Lytechinus pictus: one gene and its partners. The protein of the gene in region 2 interacts with the protein of the main gene of each other region in a pairwise test. Links are inferred from orthologs where the notes say so. Each region holds a gene or a part of one and is shown on either strand. Other genes may lie near its edges.

Region 1 (7,076 bases), on a different chromosome or scaffold from region 2:
TGGTCAACAATCCAAATTTGGAATTAAACATATCAATTGATGAGAAGATAAAAATACGGAGCAAACTCCTGTCCAAAGTTCTGAATGGTCGTATTAAAACTTAATTGATGATTTTTAATATTTTATTCCTCTTCACATGTATTAAAGCAAATTCATTTTAGAACATAAAAATAATTGAACCATTCACTACGCTTAAAAAAAAAATCCATCCCAATTTTTATTTTTTTAAATAGACATGAAATGAAATACTCTGAAAATTTGCTTTGCCCAATTAATCATGAGCCCGGCAGCTGCTGTGCAGCCATATCGATGAGGCTCTATCCCTTTAATCATTAAACGGCAAACAGGGTAGCAGCACATACTTAAACATCTTTTGGTCTGACGCGACCGGGATTTAAATTCCCGACCTCCTGGTTGTGAGACAGACGCTCTACCAACTGAGCCAACACACTGGTTTCCCGCATATTCGGCCATCACTGTATATTAACTGCTTGCCATTAATTCTGATGTTGACATTAGTATTCTAATAGTTATTTTCCTGAAAGAATCATTTGATTTTTAAATCTCTAAAAAATTTGCACAATATGGTTTCATCTAGAAATGGGTCAGAGCCTTTTTTTATAATGTCTTTGTTCTACGCCATGTTGCTTTACTTCAATTTTATGTCTGAAACATTAATATTCCCCATTCTTTAAAATATTTCCTGAAGCAATAGCCAATATTGGCTATTCATTGAAGTTTCAATGTGCAGATAATTCCAATATCATTTTCATGACCATGCAGCTTAAGCCATGACAGCTCAGGTCGTAACTCCACAATGATTCTTCCAAATAGAGTCTATTGTCCATGACGACACCGTTTCAAAGGTCACCTCTTGCCTTTATTGAACTTCTGTTTCTTGTTACCAGGGTGTGGTTTGGACGATGGTATGCACATAGCGCCACCTGCAGCGTCTCCTTCCTTGAGTCCACGAAAACGAGCCATCTCCTCGTTCTTACGCTTCAGGTTTTCCTTCCTGAAGAGACTGGTACCACGTCCTGGAGAGGTGATCTCAACGTTGATGGGTCTCCCGTGAAGTTTACTCAAATGCATTGCTAACGCACTCTGAAAAGCAGACAAAAAAATTTATGTAGCATACCAATGTGACAATATTTTTTTCAGATCATATCAAGGTTAATTCATCTTTGGATAGTTTTGTATCTCCCAGAATAAACAACCTGAAACCAATGAAAATTGGGAAATGCAAACAGAGATTTAACGTAATATATTCTCGCCAGACCACTTCAAAAGAATAAATGGAATATTAAAAGAACGTTGATACTGTGTTTCATAAACTCTGATACTGGTAACAACAGAAAATAAAGTGTTCACAGAATTTGAACAAAACTTAAACAGAATTATACAAAAATAAACAAATGATATCTGCCGAACATTTTTTCAGGAAAACATATAATTACAGAGTAATGAGCAAAGGAAGATCACAAAAATATTGAAAAATGCTGTTTATATACAGTGTGGTCTCAAATGTTGTTTCCTGTGTTAGCTACACCATGAAACGCATGTGGTAATGAATTCATTTCAAGCAAGCTAGAATTGTTAAAAATGTTGTTGTAAATAAGCATTCTGGCATACGATAAACACTTAAGGATTGTTTCCAACCATTTTCCATCAATAATTCTAAACCAGAACTCGAACTGAGCTTTAAATGAATTGAATGACATAAAACATGTCGTGAAATAATGTACCCCACAGTAGAACTGATATTCATTGTTATCAAGGGAATAGATATTCAACTCACCATGTATGATTTGTTGTTTTTAAATTCAATGTAGCCAAATCCTCTAGATTTACCAGTGTCTTTGTGTGTTGCTAACCTCACAGACTTCAATTCACCTGCCGTGTGAAAATGACAAATATGAAACATTATTTAAGCCAGCCATGTAATCCAAATTCTATATTGCTATGATTTTGAATATCCTCCTTTACTAAAAATTCAATTATTACATCATTCAGACATTACTTCAATGGGACACACTACAAGAACTCAAAAAAATATCTAACTAACTACCCCCCCCCCCCCCTCCAAACCCTTCAATTGAGCTTTTCAGGCAATGTCCAATCTTTTTCCTTTTAAGTGCACATGCTGGTATTACTAACACATTGCATTATCATTTATTTGATGCAAGATAAAACAGCATTAGAGATAACATGTCTTTTTTGCGGCCGTGCCGGGAATCATACTCCGGACTGCAATGGTGTAGTCAGGCACCTTAGACGACTCCGCTACAACGATGCTTTCTTACCAGCTTTAGAGAAGTGTTTGGTTATATCCTCTGTTGTAGCACTGTATGGAATCTGACCAACAAAGAGCACATAAAACTTCTTGGTTGAGGTTTTTCCTGAGGTCTTTCCTGACTTCTTCCCCTGGGTTTCCAGGGCATCCACACTCTCTGTTTTTACTGGAGGCTTCACAGCTGCTGAACTTGATCCTAAGGGTGAAATACATTATTTCAAATTAATTAATTACACTATAAACTGACAAATATTGGATAAAATGTTATAAAAACCTGATGGCATGGTAAAATCATAATTCGGTATTTCCTATTAATGCAAACAAAACATTAAGCAGACAAATCATATAAAATTTTCATAAGTTCACCAGTTTTAGGGCTCAAAATACTGGTACCTGCCAAAAGAAAAATATAACTGGCTTCACTTTCAAATTTTTTTAAAGACCAGTCTCTGCTCAAGTTTCCATTTTACTTACGTATACATTTCTTCATCAGTATGGGAAGGGGTGGGGGGGGGGTATTAAAATAAGGGTATTGAATTAATATGAATCATCAAATTATGACTTGCCTGTGGAATCACCTTGTTTATCTTGTTCATTCTGCTGTGGCTGATGCTCACTCCACCATCTTCAATTTAAAAAAAGTATTTTTATTTAGGAAACTTTACAAAATCAATTCAGTTAAATCACACAATGAACTGTAATCTGTATAGATGTATTAAAAAAGGGTAGGCCTAATAGTTAACTGACTTGAATTTTACAAAAAATATCTACCAAAACAAAAGTGTTGACTAGCTTCAGGAGTCGGAATGGCCAATGCTAATGCAGTTTCGCACCGGCTGACTTCACAAGGATTTCCCAATCAGATTGTTCGCACATGTCATAGCAAGTCTCTCAATCACATTTCAAGGTCAATAAACCCACCACTTTTCTGATTATCGTGATCGGGAACAGCTGTATTTCGGCTTCGATCTCGACGTCAAATTCTCAGTCAAGACATCGCTTCGCTTGGAGTGGGATTCCCCTATTATATTTATATGGTCTGAAGTTAGTGACCAAAATTATGCCATTATGCTGTGAACAAACAGGTGAGCGGCCGCAGGCTGATCTTCTGGACGCTAATTTCATTCCATAAAAAAACTACCGTGAAACCAATTCAAGCAAAGTGATGTCTGAATGAGAATTTGACAATGACCTCGTCGAGATCTAACCGAAATACAGACGTTCCCGATCGCGATATTCTTAAAAGCGCTAGGTACATTAGGTGTGATTGAGAGACTTGCTAATTTGCAAATTATTAGATCTGACTTTTAATGTTAACTTAATATGGTGGGGAAATTCTCTCAAAGTCGGCTGGTGCAAAACTGTCTACGACTACGGCCAGGATTATTACCTTTATTACTGGATCTACTGGAAAAATGCAATTACTTATGCAGTCGTGTTTCCAGGTCTTGATACAACCTGTAATACCATATGACTCAAGTTTATTCATGAGCCGCTGGTGAGGCACGGAGTCAAAAGCTTATATAGTGCGACATGACATTTCATTATTTCTTGAAGTTGAAAACTTGAGGAAGAATGGAAAAACGTTACACTAACATTACAACAACTAAAATATTCCCATTTTTAAACATATTAATAATGCTTTTTGAATATACGTAAACTATGCAATGCAGGAAACACCATCAACATTGCCATTGCATTGGCATTGCTTGCATTATGTTAAATTAAATTACAATTTTTACATGTCCTTACTTACACAAAATTCAATATGTGGTGCCTGGATTATTTTTTGGAAAAATCATGATCGGTGATGATGCTGTGTCAAAATGCCTTGACTTGATGATGACTGAGGCTTGGAAAAATACTTAAAATATGTTGTTACTTACTGCATTCTACGCTCCTTTCTGGACTTCACAGTTTCGGATTTAGCACTGTTTTCTGCCATATTTGTGCGTTTAGTTTGTCCGGCTTTCGTAGTTAGACATCTCTCACGACTCGTGCGCGGATTGCAACTTTGAAGTTGAGTTGGGAGTGTAGTCACAGTTTCACTTTCAGTTTCAGTCACTTTGGTACTGACTTAGTGTTACAGTTTTTTTTACGAGTTGCGATCAAAGAAGTAACCATGTCTGAAGGAGGACAGCAAGTGGACCTAATGCAGCTTCCGATTCCACAGCTAAATGGTCTTAAAGAACAGTTAGATCAGGTAAACTTTCAATTTTTTTTTACTGACTTGAACAAGCACTTACTCGCAAAAAGGCCAATGCGATAACTGACGCATGCAATTCTAATACACACATATTCAATAGGGATATTCACAATTTTGTGATAGATTAATTGGAATTATACAGGAGTTAAATCACCGTTGATGACACATTGATTGTGCGTGGTTTGCTATGAATATGACTGAGTGGTGAAAGCATTTGTTGGGGGGGGGGAGAATATTTGAACAGCTTAAAACTAAATGAACTAATGTCTGATAAACATGAATTTATTGGTCAAATCATGCTTTCGGTAACTATTCATAGCTCGCCGGGGCCCTGTGTCCTGTGGCTGTGACACTGTGTGTGTGCTGGGCTCTTCCCGGTGGCGGTGCCTCAATGCCCTTGATCCTATTAATTTACGCATTGCTATTGTGAAATCCTTTCCTTATTTGTGCTTACCATACATACCCTTTGACCAAAACTTGTGGGCATATTTATTTTGCCACCACAATGGAATTGGGTGCCCTCATCGCAGAGATTAAAGTCTAATTGACTGTCTTAAAGATCATCGTCGAAAAGGGGGGATCCACACTGAATTAAATCATTTGATTTTACCAGTTTGAAGTAATCTTGTAACAGGTATATACAGTGCGTCTGAAATTTTTGAAATGGCTGCCACATAAAAATATATCACTTTGGGGGAAAAGTTTTATAGAGCTCTAGATGGAAAGCAAATAATGTCAACTTTCAAATGACACCAAAAAGTAGCAAATCTATTCATGCTTGAGTGACCAATGCCCACTTAAATAAAGGGCAAGAAAATTAGGCTTGGCTGGAATTAGCCTTCCAATTTCTTCTTCTTCCGTTTATTACAGTCCTCTTTACAGAGTATAGTCGTACTTGACTGAGGCCAGTTATTGGTCACCCAAGGGTTCATTACATGTCACCGCGCACAGAAAAATCAAGCCATAGAAGTCGTGTGTTGTGGACCCAAGAAGTGAGATCCCAGCACGCGCGACCCACTAGTTAGAAATCCACTGCCAAACGCGGTTCGTGGTGCGAGGTTAGTATACTAATACTAACCTCGCAATACGTGTGAGTGGTTATTGGTAGGCGATTCCTTTGGAACTCGCAAAGTTGAGGGTGTTGTGGTAAATTAATGATCAATCATGATCAGTTTTGGTTGTTTGAGTAAATTTCATGAATTATTAAATTGAAATTAATGCATGAGTGAACATGAATTGCATTTTTAGTGCTCCATTTTAACCGTCATGTTGACATCAGCAGTGTGTAATTTTTTGAGATGCTCTGTAGAGCAAGGCCACATTTTATAGAAGATGTTTCAGAGGAGAAAGGGCCAATGAGAGGGTCATCATAGCCAGTCAACAGGGTATCAACGTGATCCCTGACCATGACAGTTGATGGCCCTGGATTGGTTTTTAAAAGCACTGTTGTCATTCCAGGGGGGGAAAGGTGTCTTACAAGACTTAAGCTTGACTTGCTTAGTGTCGAGGAACAATTGATATTTTACACTCAATCTCCTTGATTAATGTGCAGTAGTGCAATTCCTCTGAGCAGATTTGTCTAACAATGTGTTTTATACAGCATTCAACTATGAATTTGAGTGTGACTTCTAGTCACACTCAAATATTTGTGAAACACCCACTGGGCCTCATTTCATAAAAAAGTGGCTTATGATAGCAACTCGTGCTGGAATATCACCTTTCATTGGAAGAGTCAATCAAAAAGCAAAACTTTCAATGTTGTCATGGTAGTTGACATTCCAGCAAGACTTTTTATCATAGCAACTTTTATGAAATGGTGCACTCACTGCACTGCAATTGGTAAGATTCAATTCATGACTTGGCACCCTTAAAGAGAAAAAGAGAAATTTATATTTGTCTCTCTTTCTATTGCAGGAGGTGGAGATGATGCAGGGTTCCTTGCAGCAGCTCAAGATGGCCCAGTCTCGGTTTATGGAATCATCAGAAAGCATAGGCAAATTAAATTCTGATAATGAAGGTGAGCTGAAAATAGAAATAATAATAATAATAGTACAGTTCTTAATAGACGCATAACACCTACAGTTCTCTGCGTGTGAGGAAAGCAGGAAATATGGTTAGAATTGTAGATTTAAAATCAAATATCAAATAATAATAATTAATAATAATAATAATCCGCTTTTATATGGCGCTTAATCGGAACGACGTGTCTACCCCGGTCATCGGATTCAATCAGTCATTCCTGCACACAATGTGTGCACATCCTCCACTTTCTATATTATAAACATCAAAGAATATTAAAACATAGATTGAACCTAACTTAGTTAAACATTCTGAAAGAGTTGGGTCTTTAATTGTACTTTGAATTGCTCAAGCTGGGTAATATTTTGTAAAGCCATCGGTAGAGAATTCCATTGTGCTGAAATCTGTCAAAGATCATGTGGGGTTATTTATTTATGCCTCCGCCCATTTTGGGCTGTGCTGGAGGTGTTTTGTTTTCGGGTTGTCCGTCTATCCAAATTTTACTTTCGCGATAACCAAAAGAAAACCATTGGATGGATCAACCTGAAACTTGGCTCA
Region 2 (7,815 bases):
ATACTTGATTACTCTTATGTCCAAGTTTCATGAATCAGATCCATAAACTTTCAAAGTTATGATGGTAATTCAACAGATACCCCCAATTCGGCCAAAGTTCATTGACCCTAAATGACCTTTGACCTTGGTCATGTGACGTGAAACTCATGCAGGATATTCAGTGATACTTGATTACCCTTATGTCCAAGTTTCATGAACTAGGTCCATACATTTTCTAAGTTATGAGGACATTTCAAAAACTTAACCTTAGGTTAAGATTTTGATGTTGATTCCCCTAACATGGTCTAAGTTCATTGATCCTAAATGACCTTCGACCTTGGTTATGTGACATGAATCTCAGGCAGGATGTTCAGTAATACTTGATTAACCTTATGGCCAAGTTTCATGAGCTAGGTCCATATACTTTCTAAGTTATGCTGTCATTTCAAAAACTTAACCTTAGGTTAAGATTTGATGTTGACGCCGCCGCCGTCGGAAAAGCGGCGCCTAGTCTCACACTGCTATGCAGGTGAGACAAAAATTGTTGGCTAATCTTGAAAAGGCTCTGCTGTGGTAAAGGATACTGACTTCAGTGGTGGTGTACTGGTCCCTGAGGAAGTCCAGGTCCTTGTCAACCTGAGTCTGGCTCTCTGTTGCTGCTTTCAGGTTCTTGGAGAGGAGAGCCTCGGCATCGGACAGTTCGTACTCCAGCATCACATTAGCCTGAAGGAGAGAAGGAGGGGCATGCACACGTATGCAGATTATACCAATTTAGGTCTTTAGTACATTGCACTGTTAAGAGCGCCCCAAGAAAATCACTACAAGATCACCACATTACCTTGAGCACCAGCAACACCTGACACAGTACAATCCTCTCCAGGACAGCATATAAGTTGCTTTTGGGGAGACTAAGTTATGTAAAAAGTTCACTTATTCTTCTGTTAAGTGCTGTCCCCATTGCAAGAGACTACATTTGCAAAGACAAGTGTAGTCAAACTTGGGTCATTCTTGCTATTCATGGTTACAGGAAAAATTACAGAGAACATTTGATCAGAGTGGAAACCCCTTAGCAAAAATGTTACATCACTCATTTCTTTTCCCCGTCACATTGCAGAAACTCTCTAAGGCTTGCCAAGAAGCATTCGCCAATGGAGTAGAGACATTTTTTGCACTGCAGCAACAAGCAAAGATTTGGAGTCGAGGGTCTTTCCCTCTGATGTGATGCACAGCAAGATGTTGCTACAGGCGTTTCTACCAGGCCTCTCCACTCATCCTAAAGCTTCACTAGTTGGTTTGCAATCAAAATTGAAAAATAACATAAGCTCTTAAATGAATAAATTCATATTCCTCCTAGAGTATTTCACAATGAGTTAGATATAAATTAAATCTGTTTTATCATGCTTAAATGCCTATGCGTACTCGGTATTCAACACATAACCTCATTGATGACTACAAGGTATTGCGTGACTGCAACTGAACATGATATGACCAATGCACTGATGCATGTGTTATACACCGCATGCAAGTGGGAAATACAGTTTGCTTTTGAGTAAAAACTTAAATCTTTGAAAAAACACCCTATTGAACTACAAACTGATACTGGTGGTGAACCCTGACTTACCCCTAGCCACAGACAAACTTTCTTGGTAGGAAGAATAGTAGCCTTGGCATATACTTGGTCTGATAAAAGAAACTGTGTCTTTAACTCATCTTCAGAACCCTAGGAGGACAAAATGAAATGGAACAATTTCGTGGCAGCATAACTGAGATATGAAATATATTTACATCAATCAACTGCAGAATTATTACAGAATAATTTGTTACAAGTAACATAACATTTTAAAGAGAGCGTGTAACATTAAATAATGAAAATTCTTTAAATAAGTTAGATAAAAAAAACAATGAAAACAAGTTTGATGCTAAACACTGAATACATAACATCGATCATGCATGCTCTTCATCTTTCAAAAAGGATTTCTTTTAATACAAAGTAAAAAAAAAGTGCTATATAATGTATACATCATGTAATGTACAAGAGTTTCTTTTTTGTTTAAAAGAAATTTGTTTTATATGGTAATTGAAATTAATGAAGGTTATATTTACCTGTTTACTTTGTAAATGTTTGACAATGTCTAAAGTTGTTCTAATATCAGGAATCTGGCCCTTTAATCTGTGATCAGAGATAGTAAATGATTAAAATATCTTATTCAAGAAAAAGAAATTAAAAATTAATCATTCAATACCATATTCCTTGGAATTTAAGTATAGATTCACTCAAGATGGCTTCTTGAGCAACCAGAGAAGTTCTATTCTTTTAATCACTTTTATGCAACCAATCGAAAATAAAGAAATTTAAAGTGGGTGTCAGAAATCAGTCAATACTTTTGCATAAATACGTTTCTTTCTTTTTTCTCAATTATTATCGTGATTTCAGGTGGCTTCATACATCTACTTGTCATTCATAAATTTCATATATGCAGCCATTAAAAAAAAAGGTCAATGGACTCCTGAAATCTATGGTAATGAAAAATTCATCAACAAGCCAACAATTAAAATATGGGATTATTAATTATACCACTGTATGTACAGAAAATAAGAGACAAACGCACCTTCTCTTTTTCTGCAATAAATTCATTTCCATGAATTTATACTTCTGATGCTGTTCTTCTAATCTCTTCAACACAATCTCAGCAGACTCATTCTGGGGTTTCTGCATAAAACTGTCTACATCTTCCTGTAAATCAAATTGAAAATATGGAGGAAAACAATTCGTATTTTCTCAACGTCTTAATTTTTTATTTTCATCTTATCTTTATTTGTTTTCTAGGGTCTTATTCATTTTTTTGTACTTTCTCAAGTCTCAAACTCTATCTTTCTTCAGATTTTATTAGCATGCAGCAAAGAAATTACTAAATTTTAAAATCCGGAGACCTCTGCAATAGCTCAAGATCTATAAAATGTGGGATGAACAAAGTTTTCTAAGACCATTTTTAAAACCTTGCAGGCTTAATTGTCTTGAATAGTAATGAGCCAAAGATCAGGGCACAGCAACATTGTGCTGTGAAATAGTGGCAAGGGCAGATTGCCAGACAGACAACTGAAACTAAAGTGTTTTGTTTGTCTCGCTGAGCAAGTTATCAGCCCATTGACATAGAGTACCAAGGTGTGACGTCAGTTGCCACTTGCCATGGTGCAATGGCGGGCTGGTTCTAAACAGAGTCGCAGCAGATGGTCGTCTGTACACATCTTGGCTCATCTGAAAAATAGGGTGCAAGCGATCATTCTGATAGCAGCCATTTTCTCCTGTGTAAAAACACATGCTTTCATTCCGGGTTCATTTGTTTAGAACCAAGCCGCCATGACACCATGGCAACTGATGTCATGGCTTCGGTACTCTATTGTGCAACTGCTTTCCATGTCCACAAGATATAACTTTTAAAAAAGCCAAGCCCAAGAATAAGATTGTGCTGGTCACTGCCATCATCATCAGCACATTCTTCTTTCTTTCAATTCCCAAAGTTTGATTTTTAAAACATTTGCCGATTTTTAAAAACATGTTGTAAATGAGGAATGATTCTGATCTTATCATATTTTTTTCAAGTTCAGACAAATATTAAAATCTGTCGGCACAGGAAATGAGTTATCAGTTAGTTTTCCAATTCCAATTTCCAGGCCTGCACTCCTGCAGTAGGGATCCCAAAACGAAAATCTATTTTTTTTAATCTATGTTTAAAAGCATTGAAAAGTACCTCACCTGAATCAGCATACATGTATTCAAAAACCCCAAGTGAATGACTTTTAGTGTTCCAAAGAGATCTAAATATCTGTTAATCTGAGGCTAAAGTTGGTCCGAATTGTGACAGATTTGTGTACAAATTTAATTTTGAAATTTCGTCGACACATATTCACAGAGCTCGGCACTGAACGAGGGATTGTGGGCGTGTCCTTTCTCGCCTCGGCGTATTGTTACGTAAATACACAACTCGAACGAAAGTGCGTTCACCGTCCCAGTTAGTCTCGGATCCGAGCTTATCCAAATAAACAATGATTAAATAACAACAAAAAATAGAAAGAAGAGAAAAGAGAAAATAAATGGCTCAAATGCAGTCGTTTGGTGACGGATAGTATGCTGTGACCTCTTGCTGATATAAGGATTAGATATGACAAGTTTTATGCCATGATAACTAAAGCATGGGGGGCGGGGGCACTCTGACTTTCAAAATAATTAATTCTTTAAACATCTATATCTAGGCAAGGGAGGGTCCAGGATTTTCCAAAGGGGGGGGGGCACTATTAGCGGCGGCAGTCAAAAAATTTAGGGGGGCACCAAAATCTTTGACAAAAAAAGGTTATCAAAGGGGGGGGACCGAAAAAAAAATTAGCAAAAAAAGGGTAACAACGTCCCCCCATAGGCAGCGGGGGGGGGGGGGGGGGGGGTCGTGTCCCCCCTAAATTTGAGGTGGGGGGACAATCGCCCCCCCCCCTAATTTTTTTGTTGATAACCTTTTTTTTTGCTTGACAATTTTTTTTCCTGCGTGCCCCCTAAATTCCAGTGGACCCCCCCCCCCTAAAAATTTCAAGTGGTCTCCCCTAAAATTTGGGTTGATAAACTTTTTTTTTGGTGGGGGGCCTATGGAGGGCATATTTTCCCGATGCAAATTTGATAAGCATTACAAAATGTTTTTACAAAAAATTCAAAGTCATTTCGTCCCTAAAAATTTACAAGCAAAAAAATTGGGCCTATATATATATATATATATATCCTCACTTTCAAGGGGGCATGCTTGGGTAAAAAGGGCATGCTAATGTTACAAATTACAATTTTGGCTCTCGATAATTATGCCCCTTGGATCCACCAGTAATCTAAGGGGAATTTTTTGTTTTTAGTTTTGATATGGCTACCTTCTCGGAGGGCGTCCTCGCCGCGGTAGCTGGATAGTGCTGCAAAAGAGTAGGCCTTATACATCTTTTGCAGCATTAACTGACACTCCGAGACTTATAATTTAACCTTATACTTAAAAATGAATAATACAAAATAAAACATAACACTTGTTTTTAGAGAAAGTTGATGTCAAAATATATTCAGTCTGGGGCATGAAGACTTGGAACTCTGCCCCATATCATTGTACTTGCCTCGCTCGATTTGTATCATAATTTTTTTTTTATGTTTCCACAATAAAATATAGATCTAAGTACAATGGCCAGAAATAATAGTACGAATAAACTAGCAGAATTTGTATCATATCACCCATATTATTGAACGCCAATAAAGGCAGTCTCTAAAACTTGTTTGCTTTATCCCACTTTTCCACTAAGATCTATCCCTTTTGCGTGTCATATAAAAGCAATTTTGTGCGCAGATCTAGCGTAACGGTGGGACCACATGCAGTCATTAATAGGTCTCTTTAATTTTTTTTCAACATATGATGTCTCATGCTTTCTTTAAAATTAATAAATTAGAATCCTTGTATATGGCCCTGAGAAGTGGGGTGCTCGGGTTGTTACCCCCAAGATTTATTTTTTTTGGGCTGGTGGTGCGTTTTTTGTACACGTACGGCAGGGGGAGTGGAGCGAAGTTGGGGGAACAGAAAAGGGGCACTTTTTAGTGCTTTTAGAAGTGGGGCATTGAGCCCGCGCCTATCCCCTGGATCGCCGCCCCTGCACCAGAGGCAGCACCCCCTGGAAATCAGTTTAGTATGATATTCGACCAAAATCAACTTATCTTTAGAGAGATAATCTCTTTCTTTTGGCTTTTTTTTCAAAGCCAGCAACCCCTCTTTAAAAGATTTCTTTTCGGGCAATCCTCATGATTATCTCAAAAATTTGAACATTTTTTCTTCAAAGCATCTTTATAGTGACGGATGGTATAATCATATTACTAGCAGTGGCGGTATGGCCAACCCCCCCCCCCTCCCAGTTTTTTTTTTTCAAGTAGTTTAAAACAGGAAGAAGAATTACATAGATTTTTGTACCGAATTATTTTCATTAATGATTTTATTGGTAAAAATACAAAAAAAAAAAAAAAAAAAAAAAAAAATCAATTTTTCATGTTTAACCCCACTTTCAAAACTATTCCTCGGTTCCTGGAAGAATGGAGAGATGGATGGAAGGAGAGAAATAAATAGGATGAAGGGTGGATCCAGCTTTCGCCAAGGGGGGGGGGTTTCTTTCACCCATATTTTTCCCCAATCGGCCGCGCAAAGATGATTTATGTTTGTTTCTTTGAATAAAATGTCACTTCTTAGCTTTTGTCTTATAAATCAACATAAATATATAATATCATAACTCTTTTTTATATAATGCGAGCGCAAAGCGCGAGCTAATTTATCATTAAAAAATATGTGTTTTTTCCCCAAAGTTTGAAATTTCTGGGCAATGTTTATCATGAAAAAGATGTGTATGCAACTAAATAATTACTAAGAACGCGAAGCGCGAGCAGAATTGAAATAATAGGCACTTTTTGTAACTTAAACAGGATAGGTATATAACTTAGCAATTGATGCGAAGTGCGAGCACAAAATTGGAAGATTTAGACCTAAAAACAAGACATGTCTATTCATGTATTTTAAATCATGCATGGAAAGGATATCAAATTTCCGATCTTTGTTAAAGCGCGAGCATAAGATTTTTGTTTACGTTTTCAACTGATCAAAAAGGTACCTGTTAAGGACTGCTTATTTCACTTAGCCATGGGGAGACGTTACATATTTCAACAATAAAATCATGCAAGCGCGAGCCGATTTTTTTGGGGGGACACTTCTACATAAAGAATGGAAAATTTAAATCAATTGTAACCATGAACAGGATCGTCGCTATAAAACAATTAATGCGAGCGCGAAGAGCGAGCGGAAAAAAAAATCGAGATTTAGACCTAAAAATGGGACACTCTATTCATGTTTTATATATCATGAAAAGGATGAGATAAGAAAGAAGTAGTAGTGCATGGGCGTTATCGCCAATAGGGGGGGGGGTGCCAATTCGTCTACGGCAAACTCGTCCACTCACTACATGGTCTATTTTCATTAAGTCTAATGCCAATCTGTCCATCAACATTTCGTCTAACAGCCATTGGTCCATTAACCATTTGGTCCAATCATCACTTCTTCTAATAACCATCTCGTCTATGACCATTTAGTCACATAACCGGTTGGTCTAATAGCCATTTTATTTTCATAACATTTATAGTCCAATTAGATGAAATGGTATATGGACCAAATGGCTTTTGGGTCCACTGGTCATTAGACGAAATGGCATTATACTAAATGAAAAAAAGACTATGTGGTGAGTTGACGAACTGATGGACCAAACGATAGTAGACGAGTTGGCAATTAAACAAATTAGAAATAAACCGGGGAAGGGGCCGAAAAATATTTGCTCTGCTCAAAGTTAATAGGGGTAGTCCTAACAGTCACTTCTTTATTCTCATTAAACAGCATACACAAAACACAATATATAATAATCTTATAGCCCCTATAGTGCGAGTGAGAAGCGCGAGCTAAAATATCTTTGAAATTTCATGTTTTTTATCCTCAAAATTGAACATTCTGGGCAATGTTTGTGAACTTGAACAATATGCGTATTTTAATAAAATTTCTGCGAGCGCGAAGGAGGAGCAAAAAAAGAAAGAAAAGAGAGAAATATACATTCTGGTCTGATCGAAGAGGGGCTTGCTATAATGGCGGTTTACAGTTCAATCAAAATAATGCGAGCGCAAAGCGAGCTAAAAATGTTTGAAATTCTGACCATAAAAATGGACATTCCAAGCACTTTGTGTATGAACAGAACAGAATAGGGCCTAAGTAATATTTTAGGTACAAAGTGGTAGCACGAAGCGTG
Region 3 (7,630 bases), on a different chromosome or scaffold from region 2:
CTCTTGGCATTGGTGAGGTCAGCCTTAGGTCAACATGAGGCAGTCTTAAATTTAGTATCCAAGTCATACATGTATGTTTAGGGGTATGATGTCTATTGCTTGTCAACTTAAGTCTTTTTTTTGTGACATTCTTGATAAGAAAAGAAACTATTCATTTGTTTACTTTCTTAAGAAAAAATGACAGATTCCTTGCTTTCCATGGCCATAGTATCAAGTCATATTTCAATTATTCTTAGACAGATTTCTACTTTACTGCAGAAAACAGTATGACATTGCTCTGCAGTTAAATTTCAGTAAATATTGAATCGAATTGAGGTGAATTAAATTTGTTCTGAAACTGTCAAATATTTATAGTCAATTTGCTCTGTCAAGAAATCAATTTATTATTTTGACATATAACCTCATTTAGGGTACATGAACATTTCTTTATGAATTGATACTTATAATCTCTTGATTATCCATAAACTCTTTTCTTGTATTCTTGGCCATGGCCTGCAAGGCAGTCATAATTCCAGTTTCTATTTGCCATTATGGAGATGCAATATTAAAAGATAGTACAGTGAGTTGATTGTAAGTGTATTGGAGAAGAAGAATATATATATTTTTGATGGAGATATGAGAAAGTTTCTGTAAGAGAGAGAAAAGAAGTAAATCTCTCAAATTATGTGTTAACCCTAAATAGACTGGGCTATTTTGATGCCTAAGAAGACTGGGGGGGGCTGATTCAGCCCCCCCCCCCTATGATCTCGGCCGTCGACCGCGCGATCGGGACGAAAATTGGCACGTGCGTTACCCATGGCATAATCTCCAAGACTGTATGATCAAATTTTCTGAAAAATCTCAATTCATTAATTATGCTAATTTATGCGTAAAATAAAAGATTTGCTCTAATTAATTAAATAAGGCCTCTAATCTGCTAATTTTTTATTCACCGACTCTTTGTAGGATTCTGATCAAGTGTACGCTTAAAAAAATTCAATGTCACAATTCTTTTCTTATGTATTTTATTGTTTTTAAAATTTCTTATGTATTTCATTGTTTTTCCACTTTTTGTTTTTTATTGCTTTTTCAATGGAAATCGTCCGCTACTTTATTCTGACCATAAACAAGATGAAATTAATTGAGTTTGATTAGTAAAATTGAAAATAATGATACATTTATGAATTTTGGCTAAAAACACAATTTGCATTGGATTTGTACACAAATTCACGTTTTTGAGCAATTTCGGATCGACATGCACTTACAAAATGTTGCGTAATTTCGGAACCACGTACCCAGGCGTCGCAAATTTGGTCTCAAAAGTTGCGCAAGACTTGAAAGAAAAAAGTCATGGAATGGCGCGGCGCCAGCTTTTTGCGTTACAGATTTATTGCGAAAAATGTGGAGGGGGGGCTGAATCAGCCCCCCCCCCCCCCAGTCTTTTTAGGGTTAAAGTAGCCTACTGTGCAAACCCTTCACTCAGGTTTAATAAGGGTCTGAATATCGAGCCCACAATGGCTTGTGTACTGAAGGCCCTGAAATTGAAACAGCAAGTTTTATATGTGCTAGTCTTGTGTGAATACCCACTTGTTGACAAAGTTCAATCAGGGTTTGTGTCAAATTAGTATTACAGAGATTATTACCGAAGTAAGAGTGTATTACTAAAGTCTGAGAGTGTATTACTAAAGACTTATTTCAACACATTTTTCGGCCATAGAAAAAACCTTTTCCATGTAGGAATGGGTTATTTTAGTTGATTTTCAGACTATATATCAATTCTCATATGGCACCATAGGTTGCAACAATGTGTGTTAATGCTTATAGCTGCTTGGGCAACAAATCATTGTGGGGTTTTTAGGAAGGTTTGTTTTGCAAGAGATGTGTTTGGAATTGGATTCAAGATACATGGATACCATAGCACTGTGTCTGAAGGGATAGACTAGTCTTCCTGTCTTCACTAACCAATCCTTTTAAAAGATTTAGGGAAATCTATTGGCCTTTTAAATCATTTAATCTCCATTTCTTTACAGGATATATTATATTGCCATTATTTCTCTGTAAATCCGTCAATAAGGTGGAAAGGTATTACGATGCCTTCAGATTCTTCTTTGAAAATGAGGACCAAATTCTGAATTATCATTGGGAGTTGCATAAATCAAGAAGCTAGAATTTTATGAATTAAATGATTCAATTGTTTATTGTTCAATTTATTATTTTATTGTTCAATTATTTGATTATTTTTTTATCATTATCATGATCATTTGTATATTTGATTATTACTTTATTATTCAAATTTATTATTTTTTATTTTTTTGTTAATATCATTATTATTCTTATTGTTTTATTATTATCATTGTTATTGCCATTGTTAATAAATGTAATTTTCTCGTTATTGATTTATGTATTCTTCATTGATTGATTGATTTAAATATTTTTTTTGGGGGGGATCTTAGTTGCTATCTTTCAAATGGACAATCACTTATTACCACTTGAATTTTTGTTTTACATTTCCTTTAATATCGACCCGTTACTTCAGCAATTGAGTTGGATGTCATGTTCACCTGCTTAATGATATGGCTTTATTATCTGTGTTCTGATTTTTTTTCTCATGATTTATTTTTTTGTATATTTTTTTTTGTTCAGGAGAAAAATGCAATTTACAAACAGGCAGTTGCCAGGTATTTAGAAATCATACCTGATGAATAACGCACCTTCACCTGTGATATTTTCTTATTGTTATTGTTACTTTTATTTCCAATTGTTTGGAAATATATATTACAGTGTATGCTGGAGATTATAAACAGAAAAATAAAAACAATTTTAAAACATGTAAATGTATATGTTTGAGGAAAGCTTCCTTATTTCATGTTTTGTTTTGATTTTACCTTTTTAATTGAAAAATTGTTCCATGACATCTGCTTCAGCGACAATTACTCTGCTCTAAATTCCACACTTCAACCCTGGGTTCAAAACTATACCTACCCTACCCTAAATCTAACATCAATCCTATAGATTGATAATAATATAGGGTATTTATATTGCGCACATATCCACCTTGTTAGGTGCTCAAGGCGCTCCTATATTACCCGGCTAAGCTAGGCGTTCATAGCGCACACAGCTTTTTAAGGAATTACTTCCTACCGGTACCCATTTACCTCACCTGGGTTGAGTGCAGCACATTGTGGATTACTGACAGCACAAATGCATTGTGGATTACTGACGTGATGACGTCACAAAAACTTCTTTTTTGCATTTCAGCCTTTAGATACCATATTCTGGTATAGCATGATGAAAAACCCCCACTTCCAAAATTTGGTGGAAATTGGTCCATAGGGTCCCAAGATATGACTTCATGAATACAAATAATTAGCCCCATTGAAGTCAATGTATTATTGGCCTGGGCTGGTTCCTAACATTTAGAACAGGCCAATTAACATTGACTTCAATGGGGCTAATTATGTATTCATTAGGTCATCCTGGGGCTCCATAGACCGATTCTCACCTAATTTTGGTTGGGTTTCTCATCATGCTCTACCAAAATATGGTATCAAAAACGCTGAAATGCAAAAAAAGTGAAAACTGATGACGACACACTTTGATACTTTATTGGAACCCGAACCGTACGCCTATTGTATTGAACAAAATTAAGCCCGGAGCAATTGTCGCAGGAGCAAATGTCGTGTCACCGAAAAATGAGCAGGTGATATGTCTGATTGTAAGGTCTCAGTCTACATCCCAGGAAACAATTACACAGTGCATGGCTCAGGCAAATTTACCCCTGAAACGCCCCTAAGAGCCCTGCTCAATGTGTCATACTCCTCTCCCTCTCAGAACACTAATTATTGCAAATATATAACTGAATAATGAAAGTCGATGCATTTTCACCAATGATAATTTATTCACAAAATTTTCAATGGCCATCCCCCATCCTTCCTCAGTGTTTGAACGATAACTAAATCACATTTTTTGTTATTAAGACCATTAACTATCCTGTTTGATAATTAAGTTTTAAAGAAGTAATGTTAAAGAATTTTGTTTAAACTTGTAACATTGATTCAATTATTGCAAAAAATGTGAATGAAGATGAAAAATATATGATCTCTATTAGTATTCCCTCTGATGTGATGGATAAGCCCCTTTGCAGTTGTAGTTGAGATAAAATGTTTTTAATCACTCTCAGGGGCAGTGGAACAGGGTTTTTTTTTTTGGGGGGGGGGGGGCTAGCTGACAAAAAAAAACTAACACAGCCCCCTTCCCTGATTCCATGGCCCCTTTCACTGACATACACATTTGTGATTTTGATGATTTTTCATTATTCCTTTTTTTAATATTCTTTTCATCACATCCACTGAACAGTAACAGAGGGTTCAAATCATTAATCATCCCTGGATAATAATTTGGTATTTGGCAGTAGCCCAAATAATCATGAGCCAAAATAAAAGTGCACAATATACGACAAACGGTTTCCAAAGCAAGTTGATCACTGATGTACTATTCTAGACGCCTGGCCGACGACACGTCTTTCTTTATTAGGATTTCGGGACGGGAAAGCTGGTTAAAAATAGTGTTCATCCAGAAAAAAGGGGAAATGTCATTTGAGAAAAGTTGGTCATGAGTATATTCGGAGAGCCGGCCCTCTACGCTGATTAAACTACATGTCATGTCATCTCGGTAAAAATGGCAGATAAGAAAGGAAAAACGGGCAATGCCAAGAAAATGTCACATGAACAAATTGTGTCAGGCTTCAACCAGTTACGGCAGGAACAGAGAGCACTCGTTACCAAGATTGCAGAACTAGAGTCAGATCAAAATGAACACAGGTAATTCTACACATGTCCGAGGGATATTATTTGTGAAAGTGCCATGACGGGGATTGGGAATCGAACGACCGCGACCGTGCCCCCGAACATGCCGAAGCAGCCGGGGTGACAGGCAGCTTATCCCCGCTTCGCGGTTAGCATGTCCATGCCAGCCATGGCCATGCCAATGTCAATGGCAATGCCATGCCCATGGGCATGGGGTGGCTATATGCCTATGGCATTCAGACATTGGTATGGTGCACGGACACGGTGGGGAAAGAGTTCCATTAGAGTTCGGTATATGCACCCCACTATTTTTATTTTTTGATAATCTCCTGTAGGTAGGGACAACGGTACATTCGGTATTTGCTCTATCAAAATCCCTACATACCATTGCGAGTGCGTCGAGCGCGTCCGTTGATCCTACGAAGCCCCAATAATGCATCCCTCTTGACTGATAATTTCACCCTAAATTGAGTTATTTCAGGTAGCTATGATATATTTGGCATTAAAAGGATCGGTAATTATTTGTCAGTAATTATTTAGTATTCTATATTTTCGAATGGCTTACCTCTACTTGTTCTTTGAATGGGAAAATATCGTACTTTGTCCTTGTATTCCCCATGAACTGCAGAGTTTGTGTGTGTATAAAGTCAATGGGGAAATTAAAAGTTTTGCACACGCGACCCGTCACCATGACGTCACTAGCATTGCGTGTGAGCGAGCTAAGTTTGATTTGGGGGCGGCGCCCTCCAAAATTTGACCAATAAAAATTCTGCATTTGCTGCATCTTTTGGGATTTTCCCTAAATTTATGTCTCAGGGACCGTCTTGGAAGTGCGTGCTGAGCTGTATAATCTTTTTGAAGGACCCACCCTATTCTACTTAAAGATATTCAATTAAAACATCTTGGGGCCCGTTTTGGGACTTTTCATTCTTAAAAAAGATGGTTTTGAGACGAAGTCTTATATCTAGATTAATTTAAGAAAAAAAAATTGTGAATTTATTGTTAAATTTTAAAATGCAAAGCAAAAACCTCCATATGACGTGTACGTGACGTAATTATCGTCATGAAGTTGAAGATCGCGCGAAGTGGTGGGAGGGGCCTATCGCGAACGTAGACCATGTATTAGTCTTGATTCAGGCAATTTTTATGATTTGTAAAGTTCGTTGAAACTCTGTAACGTTGTGAACGGATATCATCCAAATAAAATAAATGAAAATAATTTTAAAATGTGAAAGGATGAAGGCTAGCACAATCTTTCTCTTAGGAACATTCAGCCCCCCCCCCCTCCTCAGTTACAAATGTTAATCACGTGTAATCGCCGTGATACAAGGAGAGATGTTTTGGAAGGTCATGTGTGTGTGAGATATTGCACATGGCATAATGGCGGCATATACGTGTGATACAGGGAATTCTGTACAAGGATGTTTACACTTGTGTGTGAGAAGGTCTGTGACCGAGATGGTGGCATGGGAATAATGGAGTTAGAGTGGATTAAAAAACTACGTGTGTAAAGCATGGACCTGCACGTTGCAACTGTACATTCGCTCTGGGGGCTAAATGCCGGGGCTAAATTAAAATAGGGGAATCCCCGGTGTGTATAGCTTGATTAGTAATCAATTGTTAAGGCCTACTAAAGTATATTTTGTTTATTAAAAAATCTAAGAAATCAATGTTTTAATTTGCAATGTTTACGCACAATATATGTATATATGCCCTCTCACAATCACACACATTTAAGATTTTATTTTTAACAGTAACATACTGATTGTTGTAAAATTAGGATACAAAAATTACTCAACGAGATGTCAGTTATTTTTTTATTTTCTAATGTATAGGCGGAGGGGGGGGGGTGGGTTCCCTCGGTCCTGCGCCCTCGCTCTTAGCAAAAATAAATAAATGGATATTAAAAAAAAAAATCCTAATTGGAGAAAATTTTCCCCAAAACGTACGTATCTCCTATCTCCTGAATTACAATAATAATTTCTGCCAATACCTGCAAAGAATCCGTTTACACCCCCCCCCAAAAAAAAAACCCTGAAAATTGGAGGCCATTTATATGATTGAGCGGAGAGTTGGAAAAAAATGTTTTCGGTGAGAGACCCCCCCCCCCCCCCCCCCCGCTGACTTTTACATCCGTAATCTGCTTTTTTATGGGAACATTTTTCTAACACTTCGTCTATCATGCCCTGTCATGAGTGAAAATATAGTTCAAACAGGGATATACAATATCCCTGGTTCAAACATGGACCTTTTAAAGCGTTGACAAAAAGTGACAAAAAAGTCACGCTATTATGGGGCTTTTATACCAATGTAACCCGATATACATGTAAATAAATTAGGTATCCAATGCGACTGTCAAATTGAATTTACATCTGATTTCAAGGGATCGATGTGCCATAGGCCTATATTGATTTTTTTTTCACGGGGAGGGGGCCTACATAGCTCGTTTACATTTCTCGATTTGACTCCTTTTTCCGCCATGAGTCTCAACTTCCTACATGGGATATTCAGGGAGGATCGATGGGGTGGCCCTTAATTACCCCTTCTATATAGCTATCCCAGTAGGGGTCAGGGGTTGGATTCTGAATTAGGGTGGGGGTAAGGGTATCATCATGTAACAACGATCAGACGAGAATACTCACTTGTTAATTATTATATGAAAAGAGTTGCCCCCTCCTTCGGTGTCCCTGGTCGGTGCCGGTGAGTTTTCCAAAAGAAAAATATTCTGAAGTTTGCTATGGGGAACTCTTCGTCAATTTTGAGATATGACATTATTTCACTTATTTCACAAGTCATAATCATGAACATAATACAAACAAATATTACATCAGAAGAATTAACATGAC

The links. The genes of interacting proteins can lie anywhere in the genome.
Region 1: the proteins of prefoldin subunit 3-like (region 2) and prefoldin subunit 5-like interact in binary tests that used the Drosophila melanogaster proteins (3 or more experiments, as listed by UniProt). The link is inferred for Lytechinus pictus from reciprocal best matches to the Drosophila melanogaster genes mgr and Pfdn5.
Region 3: the proteins of prefoldin subunit 3-like (region 2) and prefoldin subunit 2-like interact in binary tests that used the Drosophila melanogaster proteins (3 or more experiments, as listed by UniProt). The link is inferred for Lytechinus pictus from reciprocal best matches to the Drosophila melanogaster genes mgr and Pfdn2.

Annotation. Positions count from the first base shown.
Region 1 is NC_087247.1:32,562,492-32,569,567, reverse strand, and holds the start of prefoldin subunit 5-like, read left to right. Parts: upstream 1-4,063; 5' UTR 4,064-4,179; coding exon of another isoform or gene 4,180-4,238; 5' UTR 4,239-4,415; coding exon 4,416-4,496; exon of another isoform or gene 4,497-4,861; intron 4,862-6,413; coding exon 6,414-6,516; intron 6,517-7,076. Other genes in the region: uncharacterized protein LOC129257427, read right to left, coding at 868-1,104, 1,799-1,893, 2,304-2,489, 2,860-2,918, 4,180-4,238. UniProt on the Drosophila melanogaster protein: Binds specifically to cytosolic chaperonin (c-CPN) and transfers target proteins to it. Binds to nascent polypeptide chain and promotes folding in an environment in which there are many competing pathways for nonnative proteins.
Region 2 is NC_087248.1:15,691,612-15,699,426, reverse strand, and holds the start of prefoldin subunit 3-like, read right to left. Parts: upstream 3,008-7,815; 5' UTR 2,696-3,007; coding exon 2,589-2,695; intron 2,150-2,588; coding exon 2,083-2,149; intron 1,700-2,082; coding exon 1,601-1,699; intron 703-1,600; coding exon 564-702; intron 1-563. UniProt on the Drosophila melanogaster protein: Binds specifically to cytosolic chaperonin (c-CPN) and transfers target proteins to it. Binds to nascent polypeptide chain and promotes folding in an environment in which there are many competing pathways for nonnative proteins.
Region 3 is NC_087252.1:13,651,350-13,658,979, reverse strand, and holds the start of prefoldin subunit 2-like, read left to right. Parts: upstream 1-4,617; 5' UTR 4,618-4,656; coding exon 4,657-4,799; intron 4,800-7,630. UniProt on the Drosophila melanogaster protein: Binds specifically to cytosolic chaperonin (c-CPN) and transfers target proteins to it. Binds to nascent polypeptide chain and promotes folding in an environment in which there are many competing pathways for nonnative proteins.